2 linked regions of the Arabidopsis thaliana genome follow. The protein of the gene in region 1 purifies or fractionates together with the protein of each later gene. This does not show direct contact. Each region holds a gene or a part of one and is shown on either strand. Other genes may lie near its edges.

Region 1 (7,813 bases):
GATCGGGGGACCTATTTATATTTATATCCATAAGAGTTGTTTTAAAACATTATTTAGGTGACTGATTAGAAGAATCTAATCGATATAAATTTTATTTAGGTGACTAATTAGGCATCTCCTCTCCATGCATAATGTATGACGTAATATTAAAAACACATGATTAATGTTAGTTGCAACTATTAGAACCAAATACAGATGTACAGAGTACACGCACTGGTGAAAACTAGAAGCTTAATTACATTAAGATGGCTTCTAGAACGTTTCATGAGACATAACCTTGCATATATTCTCTCCACTCTCTACAATCATCAGTATTTAAAGTACATGGCTAATTTGGAGTAATCAAGCTTATCTAGAGAAAACTCAAATTAATCCTGAAAATTTCGTAGCAATCTATGTAAAGTTGTGGGTGTTAAATGAACTGGTATCTATGACACTTACTTATGCTGTAAGTTGCATGTTAAGGAGATGTCTAGGTAGAAAAAATAGTGAGCTGAAAGAGTGATAAGAGGGAATAATAATGGGAAGTGAAGATCCTCATGAACCATAAAATTAAGATATGTTTTATGTGATGCATGACGTGTATTACACAGATTCTAATTCTATGAAGAAATGATATACTAATTTGGTCGACTTTACGTTACTAATCATGTTCGTTCCCATGACGCTAATATACGCTGACGTAAAACCAAAAACCCAAAAAAAAATCTAGAAACAACAAAAAGGTGAATAGATCTTTTTCAGCTACGAAATACTTTTTTAAATCTCAACAAAAATTTAAAAACTAACAGCACTTACAACAACCAATTTAGGCAATTACACAAGAAAACGAGAATAACCAAAAATTGGGATTCCACCCCTCAGATCTCAATCAAATTTATAATTCATGCCATGGTATTGATGAAGTATTTCAAGACTCAAACTGCAATTACGCTTCCCTGTGCTTCGGCAATGAGTCTCTTCTTATTCGATTTACCTTTGGATTTCTGAGACTTTCGTTTCCTCGAAGGAGTCTCCTGCTTTAGCTCGTCTGTGTCTTGTTCCATTGCAGCAATGACATCTTTTTCTTTTTTCTTCTCGTCCTTAGGATACTCTGTCTCAACAGTCTCTGGATCGATCACAGACATCTCACCAAGTGTGTAGTCTAACAAGAAACTGCTTCTTACAAATCTGTCAATTCTACTGAAATGTCTCTGACTATATGGGATTAACCCTTCCAGGAGTTCCCCAATTCCTTTTACCTGTTGGAAAAATAATCCCGAAATCAATCCAAGCGAAACCGATACTATTTACTGATATTGATCTTTTCACTTTTTATGTTAAACCAAACCTGAACAATTTCTGTGGGAGGAAGTATGTTGAAGGTTTTGTAAAGAACAAACTGAGCAATGTGGCATAGCTTTGGTTTTGTGTTCCATTCTCGGACATATTCAAAAAGTAGACGGAACTCTTCTTTTTCAAGTCCTTGAAGAGCTTTCACTATCTGTTCGTCTGAATCTCTTTTCCTGTTACACCAATTGCATGTAAGAAAAGGAGGAGACTTAATATCGAGAAAAGAAAGCAATTGGTACGTGTTCTTAGATGGCTTTTTTACCTGCAGAGACCACTGAAGAGCTCAAAAACTTTGTGAGGCCTACAAAGCTCAAATGCTAATCTTATAGCTTTAGTGTATTCCGCATCTAACACTGCGTTTTCCAGCTCTTGACCTCTCAAGATTGCTTCTTCCTGCACATCGGAAGTGTTTCAAAAATGATGGTCGGACTAAAGATCAAGCACACATGACTGCTCCACAGAAACCAGACTATTAGAAATTATCTAATCAGTGAACTGACAGACCTCTTTTCGGAAATCGTCTTCTTTATCTGAAGCGGTTGAATCATGCCATAAATTAATAACTGCATCACCTCCACCAGTTGCAATCATTTCTGTCTTCTTTCCAACAGCTAAAGCCCATACCTGTAAAAGTTGAACTGTTATTTGTCTGAACAGAATAGCAAGAGGTCTCTGCGACTAATGGCAATGAACATATTCCATCAAAAGGCTAAAAATAAATACTTCCAATACAAATACAGGCAAGCCGAAGTTCATAATCCTATAAATGATAGCATCAAAGGCAGACCAAGATACATCAAAAACCAAGGACAGTTTATGTCACCTTGTCCTCGTGCTGGTCATATGTGGCAATGCACTCGCTAGTGTTCACATTCCAAAGTTTCAACAAACCATCGGCACCTACAAGTGCATGGTTAGAATGTTAAAACTAAAAATGAAGAAGAAATGACATCAGTGTAGTGAGTGATTAGTGAAACTTACCACATGAGACAAATTGGGTTCCATCAGTTATAAATGAGGCCCTAAGTACACTTGAGGTATGACCTTCAAATGTTTTGAGGCAGGAACCATCAGATATAGCCCATATCTTTACTGTCTTATCTCCTGAAGCTGTCATTACGCACTGATCAACAGTTGAGAACTCAACAGAAAAAATCCGCCTCTTGTGTCCTTTAAGTGTAACAACATGTACCAAGTCTGGTAGTCTCCATATGCTAGCTGTACGATCCTGTAAGACAGAAACCAACAGTCAGATAAGAACGTGAAGCATGTCTCCATCAGAGCCCAGTGCATCTTCATTCAATAGGAGAGAAAGGAAGACAAATTTCTCAATTCATCTGTATTAGAAAAAAGTTCAATAGAATGAATTACCATAAACTTAAACAACAAATGTTTGCTCATCATATTGTCTTACCTCAGAACCAGTGCAAACTAAGCTATCGTTACGAGCAACAGCCACGGAATTGATGTCTTTATCATGGGCAGCGACAACACTTCTAGTTTTCAGATTAATGGGCTCCTCTGAGTCCTCTGAAATACCATCAAGGCTCCAGACCTTCAGTGTACGATCACTAATCCAAAGGAACGTAATTAAGAGATTAAAAAAATATATCCCTACAGTTTGGTAGGAGATATAACAATAGATACATGTCTCTATGTTAACAATCAAGACAGATTCTACACTTTCTGCATTTATGCACACAAATTAGTTACAGCCAGAATATTTCACTGAGAAATGAAGGTAACAGAAGTCAAAAATTCTCGACCACACAGTCTCTATACTACTAATCTGATAGAAAAATTTATTTTCCAGTATAAGGCCTAACAGTAAACAGCCTTATGCTGGGTGGCTGGGTAATTGATCCTTTCTTATATTTCCTCAGTTGGGTGGCTGGGTAAAGAAAGAACAGAGTCCTAATCAGGATTTCCTCATTGTTATAAACAATATATGCATAAACTAGAAGCATCATGCTTCACTTATATCAAAATAAAAGGTATATGCAATCATTTATGTAGCACGTACCCACTTCCACTGACAAAGAAACTGAAGGACTTCTTCGCAAAAGCAACCGCTAAGATATCGCCATTATGGCCAGTACCAACTCCGATACAAGATTTGCTTGTTGCGTTCCATAGCCTTACCTGTAAAGTAATCAAATACAAGTTAACCGAGTCCACAGATCACTCTAGCAGAAAAGGTTTTTTTGTAGGTGATGTTGTGGGGAATGATGTGCATGAAAAAGCAATGACATAAGCTACAAACAACCCTAACGAAATCTTGAACAAAAAATTCCATCCCTACTAATCTAGCTTTCGTGGTACGTAACATAATTTATGAAAACTACAAGGTGAGTAAATGGACTTACAGTTTTGTCTTTACTTCCAGTTACGATTAGAACATTCCCAGAACTAGATACGCAAGTGTCGAGGGACAGAACAACTTCCTTATGGCCAGCTAACACGTAGGAACATGACATTGTTGCAACATCATATACACGAACCTGCATATATATATATTTGCAAATCTTAGTCCATGAATAATGGAATCTTAGACTTGATCATACTCACAGGATAATGACCAAGCCCGTATGATACAGGCTGAAAAAAGCTCAATTACCTCCTCGAGATTTGTAGCTACTGCGAGAAACTGTTCTTCATCACCTAGGAACTTCATATCAGCTATTTCTTCATTATATCCAACCAGCCTCTTGCTTAGCACTAACTCTGTTTCTTCCACATTTTCCACAACGGAGTAGAAAAAGAACTGCTGATCAGCAGTCACACAAAGCAGTCCGTGATCAGAAGGCAGCATAGCAGCTGCAGTGAATCCTCTTTTAGATTCCTCATCATCCGAGCTGACAGTAATATCCGACGACTTTTGCTCATAGAGGCAAATTGAACTGTCAAAGTAAACAGCCAAAGATTTCAATACATTTTTCTTACGCCAGGATAGTTTATATGACTTTACACCAAACATTATCAACGTAACAAAACCTATTAAAGGCTCACCCTTCAGACTTCCAGATGCGCACAACACCACGTTCACCAACAGTAATAAAATATGTTGCTTGAGAATCAGATTCCTTCTTCTTACTCTTCTTCTGATCCAAAGAAGCTACAAATGAAGCGAAAGGCGTCCCAGAAGAAACTGTTGTCACAGCTTCTAGTACCTCATACGTTGCAACTGTAGCCTTGCAGCTATAATCATGAAGGTCCCACAAGTTCACAACCTGTGATTAACCAATAAGTTAGCACCAGTAATCAACTGAACTTTAGAATAAAGGCCGTAATTTACTGCCTCATACCATTTAACAAAACACCAACAGAAAACAGTCCTACTCCTGAAGATGCAACTCAATTAAACTAGAGAGGATATAGAACTCACTTTATCTCTTCCAGCACTGAATAAAGTCAATCCATCCTCTGATAGAGCAATTGAAGTCACAGCTGAAAAGTGCTTCTCCATAATGGCAAGACATTTCTTCTCAGTATTCTTTGCATTAAGATCCCAGACACGAACGGTTGCATCATCACTTCCCGAGATAAGCTACACCACACCATCAAGAACACACTCTTATCATCAAACAAAAGTGGAATATAGCTTTACAAGAATAACATATCTCTTTATAATCGAGAAACTCTATCCCTTTATAACACAAATACTACTCCCAGATAATTTGACCCATAGACGGAATTGTTACATACAATGTTTTTGTTTGAATCAGGATGGAAGAGGATACTTGACACAACCCCTTTATGGCCTCTGAAATAATGAGTGCAGAAACCACCATCAACATCCCAAACAAGAACTTTCCTATCAGCTCCAGCAGTAGCTAGCAATCCTCCAGATGCGTGGCAAGCCATTCCCATCACAGGTCCTTCGTGTCCCTGCTCATCATTAAGCACAAATTATAGACTAAAACACCACAAGGACAACAATAATCATATTTAGAAATCAAATTTTTTAAAAAAGAGAAACCTAATTCAATATCAGTTAGTACAATATATATATACCTTCCAAGAGCGAATGCATTTCAAGGTTTCCAAATCCCAAACTCGGATTTGTCTACTATGTCCAGCAGAGAAAAGGAGCTTATCATCAGGACTAAGAGCTAAAGCAGTGAGCGTATCCGACTCGCCTTCAATCGTGGATTTCACTGATGAATCCGTAGAATCAACGATGTTAATGACGTCACCACAGGCGCAGGCGATGAAAGAACCATCAGATGAAACAATGAAAGGACCACCGCCGTAGAACTGCTTTAGAGATCGTGAGCACCTGTAGTTCTTCTTTAACGAATGAGGAGCCATCACGACGGCGAACTCTCTTTCCCGTCCGGTGAAGAGAACGTTGAAGGACTTTGCGCGAAGAAAAACGGTAGCCGGAGAAAGAATTAGGGTTTAAGCAGCTCGCTTTTATACCTTGTCTTTTTTTTTCAATTGGTACCAAATTTTAAGACGTACCAAATTAAGCGTTTGCGTTTGCGTCTGCGTTTGAGATCCAAATATTTAAGCCCATGAACTATATAATTGGCCCATAATAATTATGAAGCAATCGCAACCGTCCATCTAATGAAAAAGACCTAGACTCGTCCTCTTTCGCACGCTAACACGTGTTCAACATTCGCCACTTGCATCTTCACACGTACCAATATTCGATTCCACACGTGTACAACATTCCCTTCTCTCTCTGTTATTTCATCTCTAGAAAAGGGCACAAAAAACCAAACTTTACGATTTCTCCTCTCTGGAATCTCGATTCTGTATGATCTCTTCGATCTAATCGAGTCTTCTAAACGTTCCGTGTAGAATTTCAAATCTAGGGTTTGCTAAAGCTTGAACCTTTCTTACCCTTTTCTCTCGAAGAGGTTTTGATTCCTGGGCATGAATTTTTCCCTAATCTTGTTACCTTCGAAGCATAACAACAACGAAAGATGTCAGATTCAATCCAGGAAAGATACTTAGTTGGATACGCACTCGCAGCCAAGAAACAGCATAGTTTCATCCAACCTTCTTTGATCGAACACTCAAGGCAACGAGGCATTGATCTGGTCAAGCTTGATCCGACGAAATCGTTGTTGGAGCAAGGGAAGCTTGATTGCATAATCCACAAGCTTTACGATGTGTATTGGAAGGAGAATCTTCATGAGTTTCGCGAGAAATGTCCTGGTGTTCCTGTAATCGATTTGCCTGAGGCTATCGAGCGATTGCACAATAGGGTTTCGATGCTTGAGGTGATAACTCAATTGAGGTTTCCTGTTTCAGATAGCGAGAGATTTGGTGTCCCGGAGCAAGTTGTTGTTATGGATTCGAGCGTCTTGAGCGGTGGAGGAGCTTTAGGGGAGCTTAAGTTTCCGGTGATTGCTAAGCCGTTGGATGCTGATGGGAGTGCTAAATCTCATAAGATGTTTTTGATTTATGATCAAGAAGGGATGAAGATTTTGAAAGCTCCTATTGTGTTGCAGGAGTTTGTGAATCATGGTGGTGTGATCTTTAAGGTCTATGTGGTTGGAGATCATGTCAAATGTGTAAAGAGAAGATCTTTACCTGATATCTCTGAAGAGAAGATTGGGACGTCGAAAGGGTCTCTTCCGTTTTCGCAGATATCGAATCTGACTGCTCAAGAGGACAAGAACATTGAGTATGGTGAGGATAGGAGCTTAGAGAAAGTGGAAATGCCTCCGTTAAGTTTCTTGACAGATCTAGCAAAGGCCATGAGGGAATCAATGGGACTCAATCTCTTTAACTTCGACGTGATTAGGGATGCCAAAGATGCTAATAGGTACCTTATAATTGATATTAACTACTTTCCTGGATATGCTAAGATGCCCTCTTACGAGCCTGTGTTGACTGAGTTCTTCTGGGACATGGTCACTAAGAAGAATCATGTCTGAGAAATAATCTGTTGGGGAGTTAGCAGGAACATTGTTGGGGAGGATTTGTACCATTGCAATGTGTTGCAACTGCCATTGCAATTCTGGCCTATGGTGACTAGCTGCTTTGCTAATTTTCATTTGGATTCTTGAACTTGTGCTTTTTATATTTTTTTAGTTGTTTCTCTTTTGTTTACTTCCGAGTTTTGCAAAGCCATGTTCAAATGCATAACTGTTGCTACTCTTGAAAAGCATTGAATCTCTAAATTCTTGGCAATGTGGTCTGTTCTCAACTGTTGGTAGTTTGTGATTTCTTTTCAAGCTTTTATGGTGCCTGTTTTCTTCCTCAAATCTGACAAGACTGAGATATTTGATTAAGCATTGGTATAAGTTGATTAGTAACCTTCACTTGGCAATGCTTTTCCATTCTCTATATTATGAACTGTTTATGTGAAACCGGTGCTAAGTCTTTGTATCGGATTTCTAAGACATGGAGATGGTTTGCAAGATATCTCCAGTTACTTGTATCTTCGTCCTGTGCTTTCTTGTCTCTGCATTCTTGGTGCTTAAGTATATGGTTCTTGTTTGAATCATCTTGAGTAAGGTAT
Region 2 (7,803 bases), on another chromosome or scaffold:
AAATACAGATGCAAATTCTGACTCCGGCTTCAACTGAAAACAAAAGCAAATATCTCAAGTGTCACTTCCATGTACTTAGTGTCAGAGGTTTAACTTACCACCATCAGGTCTGCTAAATTGTGCATTCCAGGAAGAAGAGTAGTCATCTTTCTCTGTGTAATCAAGAGACATAATGGAATGAGGCATAGTCACTTGCATTGAAGCAGAACTCTTAACACAAACAACTGAAAGTAGTAATCCTCCACAAGAAATTGCAAAACATAAAATTCAAAGCTTGTGTAACTCAGGAATGAACAATAATCACTTGATGATATATTGCAAGGGGTTTGTTTCTGTAAAATTGACCCAAGATGAAATTTTTATTTCCTTTATCATAAACCCATTTCACACGCTTTTATTTCACTATATGAGTGAGAATATTTTCAGAAATCGAAATCCAAATTGTAAGAAAAAATTTCGTGTAATGCTCATAATCTCGATCGTTTTGTGTGTATATGTATATTGTATATACGGAGCAGAGAAAGAGACCTTGAGGTAGGCGCGAGAATCAAGTAAAAGCGACGGTGTCCGACGAAACTCACCATTCGATCACCGTCGCCGTCATCACTGTTCCGCCATTGCAAAGACCTTTACGTTAACCGGAAATTAGTGGAGCTCGGAATTAAACCAGACTGGTTTAATCAGTCTTAAACCACAAACATATCATTTATTCACGAATGGCCCTTTAATTTTAAGAAATGTACAATTTTGACCCTTGGTAACGAAAATTTATATTTTGACCCTTTCGAGCCACATTTGACATTTCCACGAAGTGATTTAGTAAAACATTAAATGGAAGAAAAAAAAAGGTTACAACAGGCAAAATTGGATTTAAATTAACCATCTTTAAAAGTTACATCCTCAGAACAAAGCATGGCCATGTTGTCCTTCCTCTAATTTCTTCTGCTTCTTCTTTCTCTTTTTCTCCATCTTTGTATCTCCTCGTGATGCCATACGTTTTGCTTGCTGTGACCTTATCTCCAATAGCTTGGCCTTTGCATCTTTGAAGGGAGCATCAGATCTTGCATCCATCATTTGCTGCAAAACACCACAGCTTCACTTTAAATACCCACAAAGATGAGATAAAATGCTAAAAATGAACATAATCCAAAGTGCGAAATGTTTTTACCTTGACATGATCCATGGCGGCCAAATTGAAACCGATTGTATCTTTGCATGCCTGATAAGTTCCAGATTCATATCAAAACCAATTCAGAAATAAAAAGATATACAACTCAACAACATTTTCCTCTTTGCTAACCTTGATTTCTGAGTAAAGAATGTCCCTGAGAACGCTTAAGATTGGTCTGGCAGATGGTGTTGTTACCAACTGGTTGTGATGTGTCTGTAATATAATGGTTGCGATTCTGCTAACCAACTCTACCTGCAGGATTTGGTAACAAACATTAGAGATATTCTAAGACGAGAAGGATGGATCTATAATCTGTTGTAAAAATATAACAGGTTGATGACCCAGATCGAGTACATTCTACTTTACAACACGAAGCTATATCTATAAGCCCTTCAGAGCTAAAATCTAGAATCTACGACACAAAAGGAGTATATAATTTACCTTTTCGGGAATTAAACTCCAGTCTTTCATGTAGCAAAGAAACTTCAAAGAATCTGAGAATGGTAGAGCCTACATAAAACCCAAAAGAGGAAAGGGTATTGATTAACATAACCATGGATCTAGTACGAGTTGGGTGCAACCAAGTAACTAGTAAAACGATGGTTTGATGGAAGAAAGGCAACCTACCAGCAAAGTCTGCTCAAGATCATTTGTTCTCACATTTGAGATGGCCCTGAGAACATATTCGGACGGAGAAAGCCCGAACATCACAGCGTTGGGTAGGTATTCAGGAACTTTTCCCTTTGTTTTCTCCTCCTGAAGATTGGAAGAAAGAAAAATCACGATGCAAAGAACAAGTAGGAAACAAAGTAGCAACCGTAGATATTGGCATAACCATTTTGTGTTAAATTCAACTCCAAATTAGCCAAAAACGAAGTACCAACTAGGGGGATGTCATGTCGATATGTATAGATAAACAAACAAAGTAACGATTCCCACCTCATAAGCAGCATGACGCTTTGTTTCATCTTCTGCTACTTCCAGAGCATCTATAATTGAATCAGCAGCTGATAGAACATCTATCGTCTTCTTGCCAGCTAATGCTGCAACACCTTCCTCTGGAATTTCCTCCATGGGTCCATGCCTGTCATCTGCTGCATTATCAATCTCAGACTCAAAAAGCTCTTCTAACCTCTTTTCCTTCTCTTCCTGCATTATTTCCAGTAAAATTACATTAATTGACCTAAAGTCACATAAAATAACTCGTCAAAATATACTTGAGATTTATGTAGACATGACAGTATGACACCAAATCTACATTCACAACCACATACACATAGAAGAGTTATTATATTTGAATGCTTGAACTTGCATGACTTCCGTATTTGATTTCATCATGTAAACTGAAATAAGTAACTTCCAACAGTGGGGAATTACCTCGAGGAAGAAAGGTTCTTCAGAGCGATCCCAGCGACGCATGGAGCGGTCATGAGATCCTGTTACGAGAAAATCACCACGGTTACTGATAGCAAGGCACCAAATCTCTGCATGATGTCCTTCAAGCGTTAACAAATGCTCGAATTTGTCAGCATCCCAATACTTGACGAGGCGGTCTTTCCCAATGCTGAACAGATAATGGGTATTCCGAACAAATTTTACACCCATGACACTGTAAAACAAAGTCGCGTGTCAGTTAAGCTCCACAATCTTTTAATGATTCCAAGGAGTCTTTAACACAAAATATAATATTTGCGGTAATAATCAACATTTTACTAGCCAAGTAAATCTGTTGGGAAGATACTGGAAAAGGAAAGGGGTTTTCTGCTTATATATCATGTCATGCAATTAGTCATACTGTTTTCTTACACAAAATTATAATATTCAAGGAAAAACTGGGTCCACATTATTGAGTACGTTATGCCATTTTCAGAAATATGGTACGAATTATGGAAGTACCTGTCACCATGAGCAAAGATAGACTTATGACAATCACCAAAATCCAAACCCCAAATTTTCAAATTTTTGTCCTGAGAACCAGTAACAATCAACTCTCCATCTGATGAGATGTCAATGCACATCACAGGCAACTTGTGGCCATATAAGGAGAGGTAGAATTTTAGGGAATCCATGTAGAAAACCTGAAACCAATATAAGGTACATAAGTTAGTGTTACATACGTCAATGTAAATGATAATACGATAGATACGATTATAAGAATGTGGTTAGCGTATCATTTATATGACGTACTGAAAATTATTATTTTCTCATTTACATATGCCATAAACAGAAAATCTACCTTCACTGTGGAATCAAGCAGTGCAACTGCTATGTGTTTAGCATCCGGGCTGATAGCAACAGCAAGTACATCGTCATTCATCTTCATGGACTTAACATTTGAAACAGTGAGTTTCTTGGTCGCCTGCAGGTTATCAAACACAATATGTTTTGATCGAATCATTTTAGCACACTGTAATATACTACTCAAATAACACTAATAAACAATGTGCTCATCAACAACTTTCTTAAGAGTGAGCAATTCCAGAAAACAAAGGCACGGAAAACAGGAGATGGAAAAAAAGAGAGTAGAGAGGCAATCTATGATACAAAAACGTTTACTTATCTAATAGAGAAAATAAAAGAAACTTAAGGTCAGGAATCTCACCTTGCCAGATTTCTGTTTGACTTGGTATTCCCAGAATTTGACTTCATGATCTGCACTGACTGTGACAAACCCGCTATCGTTTGGAATAGGTGTAATTGACCAAATAGTGCCACCATGAGCCTTCACTTCTTCCACTTTGGTAGCGCTCCCTATATCAATGATTTCAAGTACCCCACTCTTGGTTCCAACAATACCATACTTGTTTTGGGGAACAATCAAACTGCATAATCCATATCCTGAATCAATGGTCCGGAGGCAGGAACCTGTACTGGGATTCCAAATTTTTACTTCACTGTGACTGGTTGACATCAAAAGGGTGTTGTCTTCACTGAGGGTAACACTCCTCACATCAGAGCGATGTCCTTGGTGTTCAATGGTAACAGTTTTCGCGTTTTCGCTGCTTTTAAGGGAATAGAATTCCAGTGAGTTATTGTTCAAAGAGAGAGCTAATGTTCCTAAGGATTCTTTTGGAGCTGTCGGACAGAAAGAGAAAGAGCTGATTTTTCTCCCAGCTCTAATGACTTGTAAGAGCTTGAAAACATCAAGGACAGTAGGACTAGAAACAGCATCAGCTAGTTCAATTTTAGCACTTGCTTCGCCATTAGCGGTTGAATTTTCATCCCCCACTTTGGAACTCTTCTTCTCTTTTCTGCGAAGCCTACGCTTTGCTTTCTGCTTAGCCTCAGCTTCATCCAAAACCCGGAATATTTCAATAGTTTTACCTGCCATTTGACAAGCCAGAAGTTTTCCCGAAACATTGAATCTAACTCTCGCAACTCTATCCTTAGTTTGTCTCTGAATTTCCCCAAACAGCTTTAGAATTTCCCACTTGTTCTCTGTCGAATGTTCTTCACTGGCCTTGATTTCATTTGCATTTGAGTCAGATACCAATGATCCGTTAGACGAATATTCCTTGACAGCATAAAATCTAAGTTCTTGATCAGCCGACCCAGTAACAACATATCTCTCCTCTGGATCAGTATCAACAGACCACACTTCACTATGATGACCACTAACTATTTGCATACAGTGTTGGGTCTCAAGATCCCAGACTCTCAAGAACTTGTCCTTAGATGAACTTACAAGTTTCTTACCACCATCCAAGAATACAAGATCTGTGACCTACATTAGACACATGAACATTGCTCTTGTCAAAAACCACTATAAAAACCCACACACCATAGCAGAATCATCAAACACTAAATACTAGAAATATCAAGCTAGACATTAAATAACCTGATCTCGGTGCCCACGGAGACGAAAAAGACCTGATTCGCCAACAACATCCCACAAGATAATATCATTATCTTTACTTCCAGATGCAAGCATCGATCCAACCTTATTGTACCGCAAAGCAGTCACCGCCCCCTTATGGCTATTAAAATTAACCTCACAAGTTCCTTTCTCAGTATCCCATATTCTTATGCTCCCATCTGCATACCCAACTGCCACCTGGTTTATCACACAGAATCAAACAACAGCAAACTCCTTCAGATACTCAATAGTACAAAGCACCATGAATATTATTAATTCTAGCTTAAAATTCAAATACGACATTTCTAGCTCTATTTAGCTACCAAATAGATTACAAAGTGAACAACTTTCAAGTCATTAAGCAAATCAAAATAAAAAACGAACAAAAGTAAGTACCAAGCTAGAAGCAGAGGAGGCTATAGAGGTAACGGCGAGAGATGGTCCACCGCGAGAGGAGGAAGGAGTTAGGGTTTTGGAGCAGACACCTTGCCGGACGTGCCATATTCCGACCTTCTCCAACGCCGGAGCAAGCACATACTTCCCCGTCGAATCGTAAGCTATGTTCGAATCTACAGATGAAATCACACCGAAAGAGGTCGCTGCATCGTATCTTTGGTAAGCCTTCACCATTCTCCAAAAGCTTTGGTTTTGATTTTCTCTTCTTCTTCTTCTTCTAGCTTTTGATGGCGGGATTTAGGGTTTTAGAGTGGTTAAGGCAGCAGGGTTCTAACATCCAATGTTACTTTTGATAAATTGCGATATAGTCTTAAACCTTTTGTCTATTCAATATTTAACCCCTAACTTTATTTCAATAGATTTGAAGCCCTTACTCTTCGGACCCAAACTTTTGTTTTCTCAATTTGCAACTATGTTGTGTAATCATTGGTACTAAGAACGAAACAGAACAAACAAAAAGAAAAATGGCTCACGACATCCATGACCAATATTAGTAATTTTTTATCATTTTCTTAAAAATCAATGTATAATAATTGAATGATTATCATCTAAAGAAAATCAAGAACGTACACTTTTTATCTTATTCATACTCTAGGCTTACCTTTTTAACATCCACATTAATTTTTTTTATTTTTTTTGTTAAAGGGCCCATCCACATTAATTTTTCCTAGCTAATTTCTTTCAAAATAAAAGGATATATAGAAATATTTGTGTGTATATACATTAGTTCATATAAGTGTCTCTTAAGTTTCAACTCCTTAACATCTAGTGATTTCAATAATGCTGATTCACTCACTATGAGCATAAAAAGAGATATGTTATTACTTTTGAGTTTATCAACAAACATATGGAAAAAATACCAAAAAACAAACACACAACATATGATCAGCATTCAAATACATAAATAAAAATAACAAAAAAAAAGATCACAATTATAAAACTTTCGTATTTACCATTCCACGAATAAACACATGCCATTACATTTTAATGTTTTATGCATATAAATAGTATAAAATCATATACTATCATTTCATCTCGGAAGCATCATCCTCACTGTGGTCCGAGGGATTCCCAATTCCGTGACGTCTACTAGGGAACACCGTGAAAACAGCACCGGAGATAACTCCGATCACCGGAGGCAAAACCATGAGAAAGATCTTCCCAGCGGAGCCAAAGCCAGGATAGAAACAATTCACGGTGTTTGCATCCAACAAGGAAATAACACTGAACACGATAAGAGAGAAGAAAGCGTGAACGAAATCTCCAACTCTAAGCCTTTTCGAAGACAAATCCACTGAAGATGAATCTGGCCAAAGACCCTTCACGGTGGCAACTCCATAATGAACGTAACCGTCTCTTGTTCGGTAACTATCGGTGAAGCAAGTGAAGCAACAAGAGAAGGCACAAATAACGATGAGAACTCCGGTTAAGTATTTGTTGATGAGGAGGCAATGTCCATTGTTGGTTAGGACAGGGTTTAAAAATTGGAACAAGAAGACGGTTCCGGTCGGGAGGAGCTTGATGAGGTCTCCTACGCCTGAATATGTCCGGTCTCTTATGGCTTTGAATGTTTTCGACATTTTTTTGTTCTTCTTTTGTAAATTATATTTTTAGTTGTCGTTTATAGTGTTCTTGAATGTGAATTCATAAAAGTGTTGTTTGTCGAGTGTTTATAGGATGAGAGAGAGACATTGCTTCTACGTAAAAACGGGTTTGGTGTTGCTTATACTCTTTAGAAAAAGTTGGGGGAAAATTTAATTATAACTTTTTTATTTGTTTAGGTTACCCTTTTTAGTATTTTAGGCTTGTACTAGAAAACGTGGCTTGGAGGATTAGATTCGTTATGTTTCTCTTTGTATTAGATACATAGAAGTGTGAAGTCATTTTTAATGCTCCATTCCATTTGTTGTCACACATATCGTCATACGGTCGTTGAAAGATCTGGTAGTCCAAAACGTATCGAGTGTGAAACAATATGTTTGGCAAGTAGACCGGAACATGTATAAATTTATTTATATATTTGAATCTTGTTAAAAACATTTTTGTGTATTTAGAGACTACACATAGGAAACTACTGATTTATACATATGGTTTACTCGACTTAATAGTTTGTTAAAACCGGTTAAGTTTATGAACGTTTTGTAGAACCTGTGAATACTCTGTTTTTAAATAAAAATAAATAACATAACATTTCTAAAGTAGTATGATAGTATCACAGCCGTTTCATTTGTGTGAATGTCGCGAAAATCAATATGCTCTCGGAGTTTCATTGGTTGTCACACACTATAGATTCAGTTCATTCAACCTTAGTGATCATCAT

What was found.
Region 2: the proteins of TOZ (region 1) and AT3G21540 fractionate together in Arabidopsis thaliana (co-fractionation; one large-scale study listed by BioGRID). This does not show direct contact.

What each region holds. Positions count from the first base shown.
Region 1 is NC_003076.8:5,503,624-5,511,436, forward strand, and holds TOZ (Transducin family protein / WD-40 repeat family protein), read right to left. Parts: upstream 5,739-7,813; 5' UTR 5,644-5,738; coding exon 5,347-5,643; intron 5,221-5,346; coding exon 5,038-5,220; intron 4,880-5,037; coding exon 4,718-4,879; intron 4,563-4,717; coding exon 4,342-4,562; intron 4,233-4,341; coding exon 3,950-4,232; intron 3,834-3,949; coding exon 3,699-3,833; intron 3,475-3,698; coding exon 3,356-3,474; intron 2,904-3,355; coding exon 2,747-2,903; intron 2,561-2,746; coding exon 2,314-2,560; intron 2,233-2,313; coding exon 2,156-2,232; intron 1,957-2,155; coding exon 1,837-1,956; intron 1,726-1,836; coding exon 1,595-1,725; intron 1,506-1,594; coding exon 1,331-1,505; intron 1,242-1,330; coding exon 918-1,241; 3' UTR 619-917; downstream 1-618. Other genes in the region: ITPK1 (Inositol 1,3,4-trisphosphate 5/6-kinase family protein), read left to right, coding at 6,267-7,226. UniProt on the Arabidopsis thaliana protein: Essential protein involved in the regulation of cell division planes during embryogenesis which defines cell patterning, especially longitudinal division planes of the proembryo, probably via the regulation of embryo patterning genes expression patterns.
Region 2 is NC_003074.8:7,585,200-7,593,002, forward strand, and holds AT3G21540 (transducin family protein / WD-40 repeat family protein), read right to left. Parts: upstream 5,800-7,803; 5' UTR 5,658-5,799; coding exon 5,424-5,657; intron 5,226-5,423; coding exon 5,010-5,225; intron 4,896-5,009; coding exon 3,774-4,895; intron 3,531-3,773; coding exon 3,408-3,530; intron 3,250-3,407; coding exon 3,068-3,249; intron 2,781-3,067; coding exon 2,549-2,780; intron 2,321-2,548; coding exon 2,111-2,320; intron 1,928-2,110; coding exon 1,799-1,927; intron 1,682-1,798; coding exon 1,613-1,681; intron 1,424-1,612; coding exon 1,301-1,423; intron 1,220-1,300; coding exon 1,169-1,219; intron 1,078-1,168; coding exon 901-1,077; 3' UTR 687-900; downstream 1-686. Other genes in the region: DMP2 (transmembrane protein, putative (DUF679 domain membrane protein 2)), read right to left, coding at 6,509-7,063.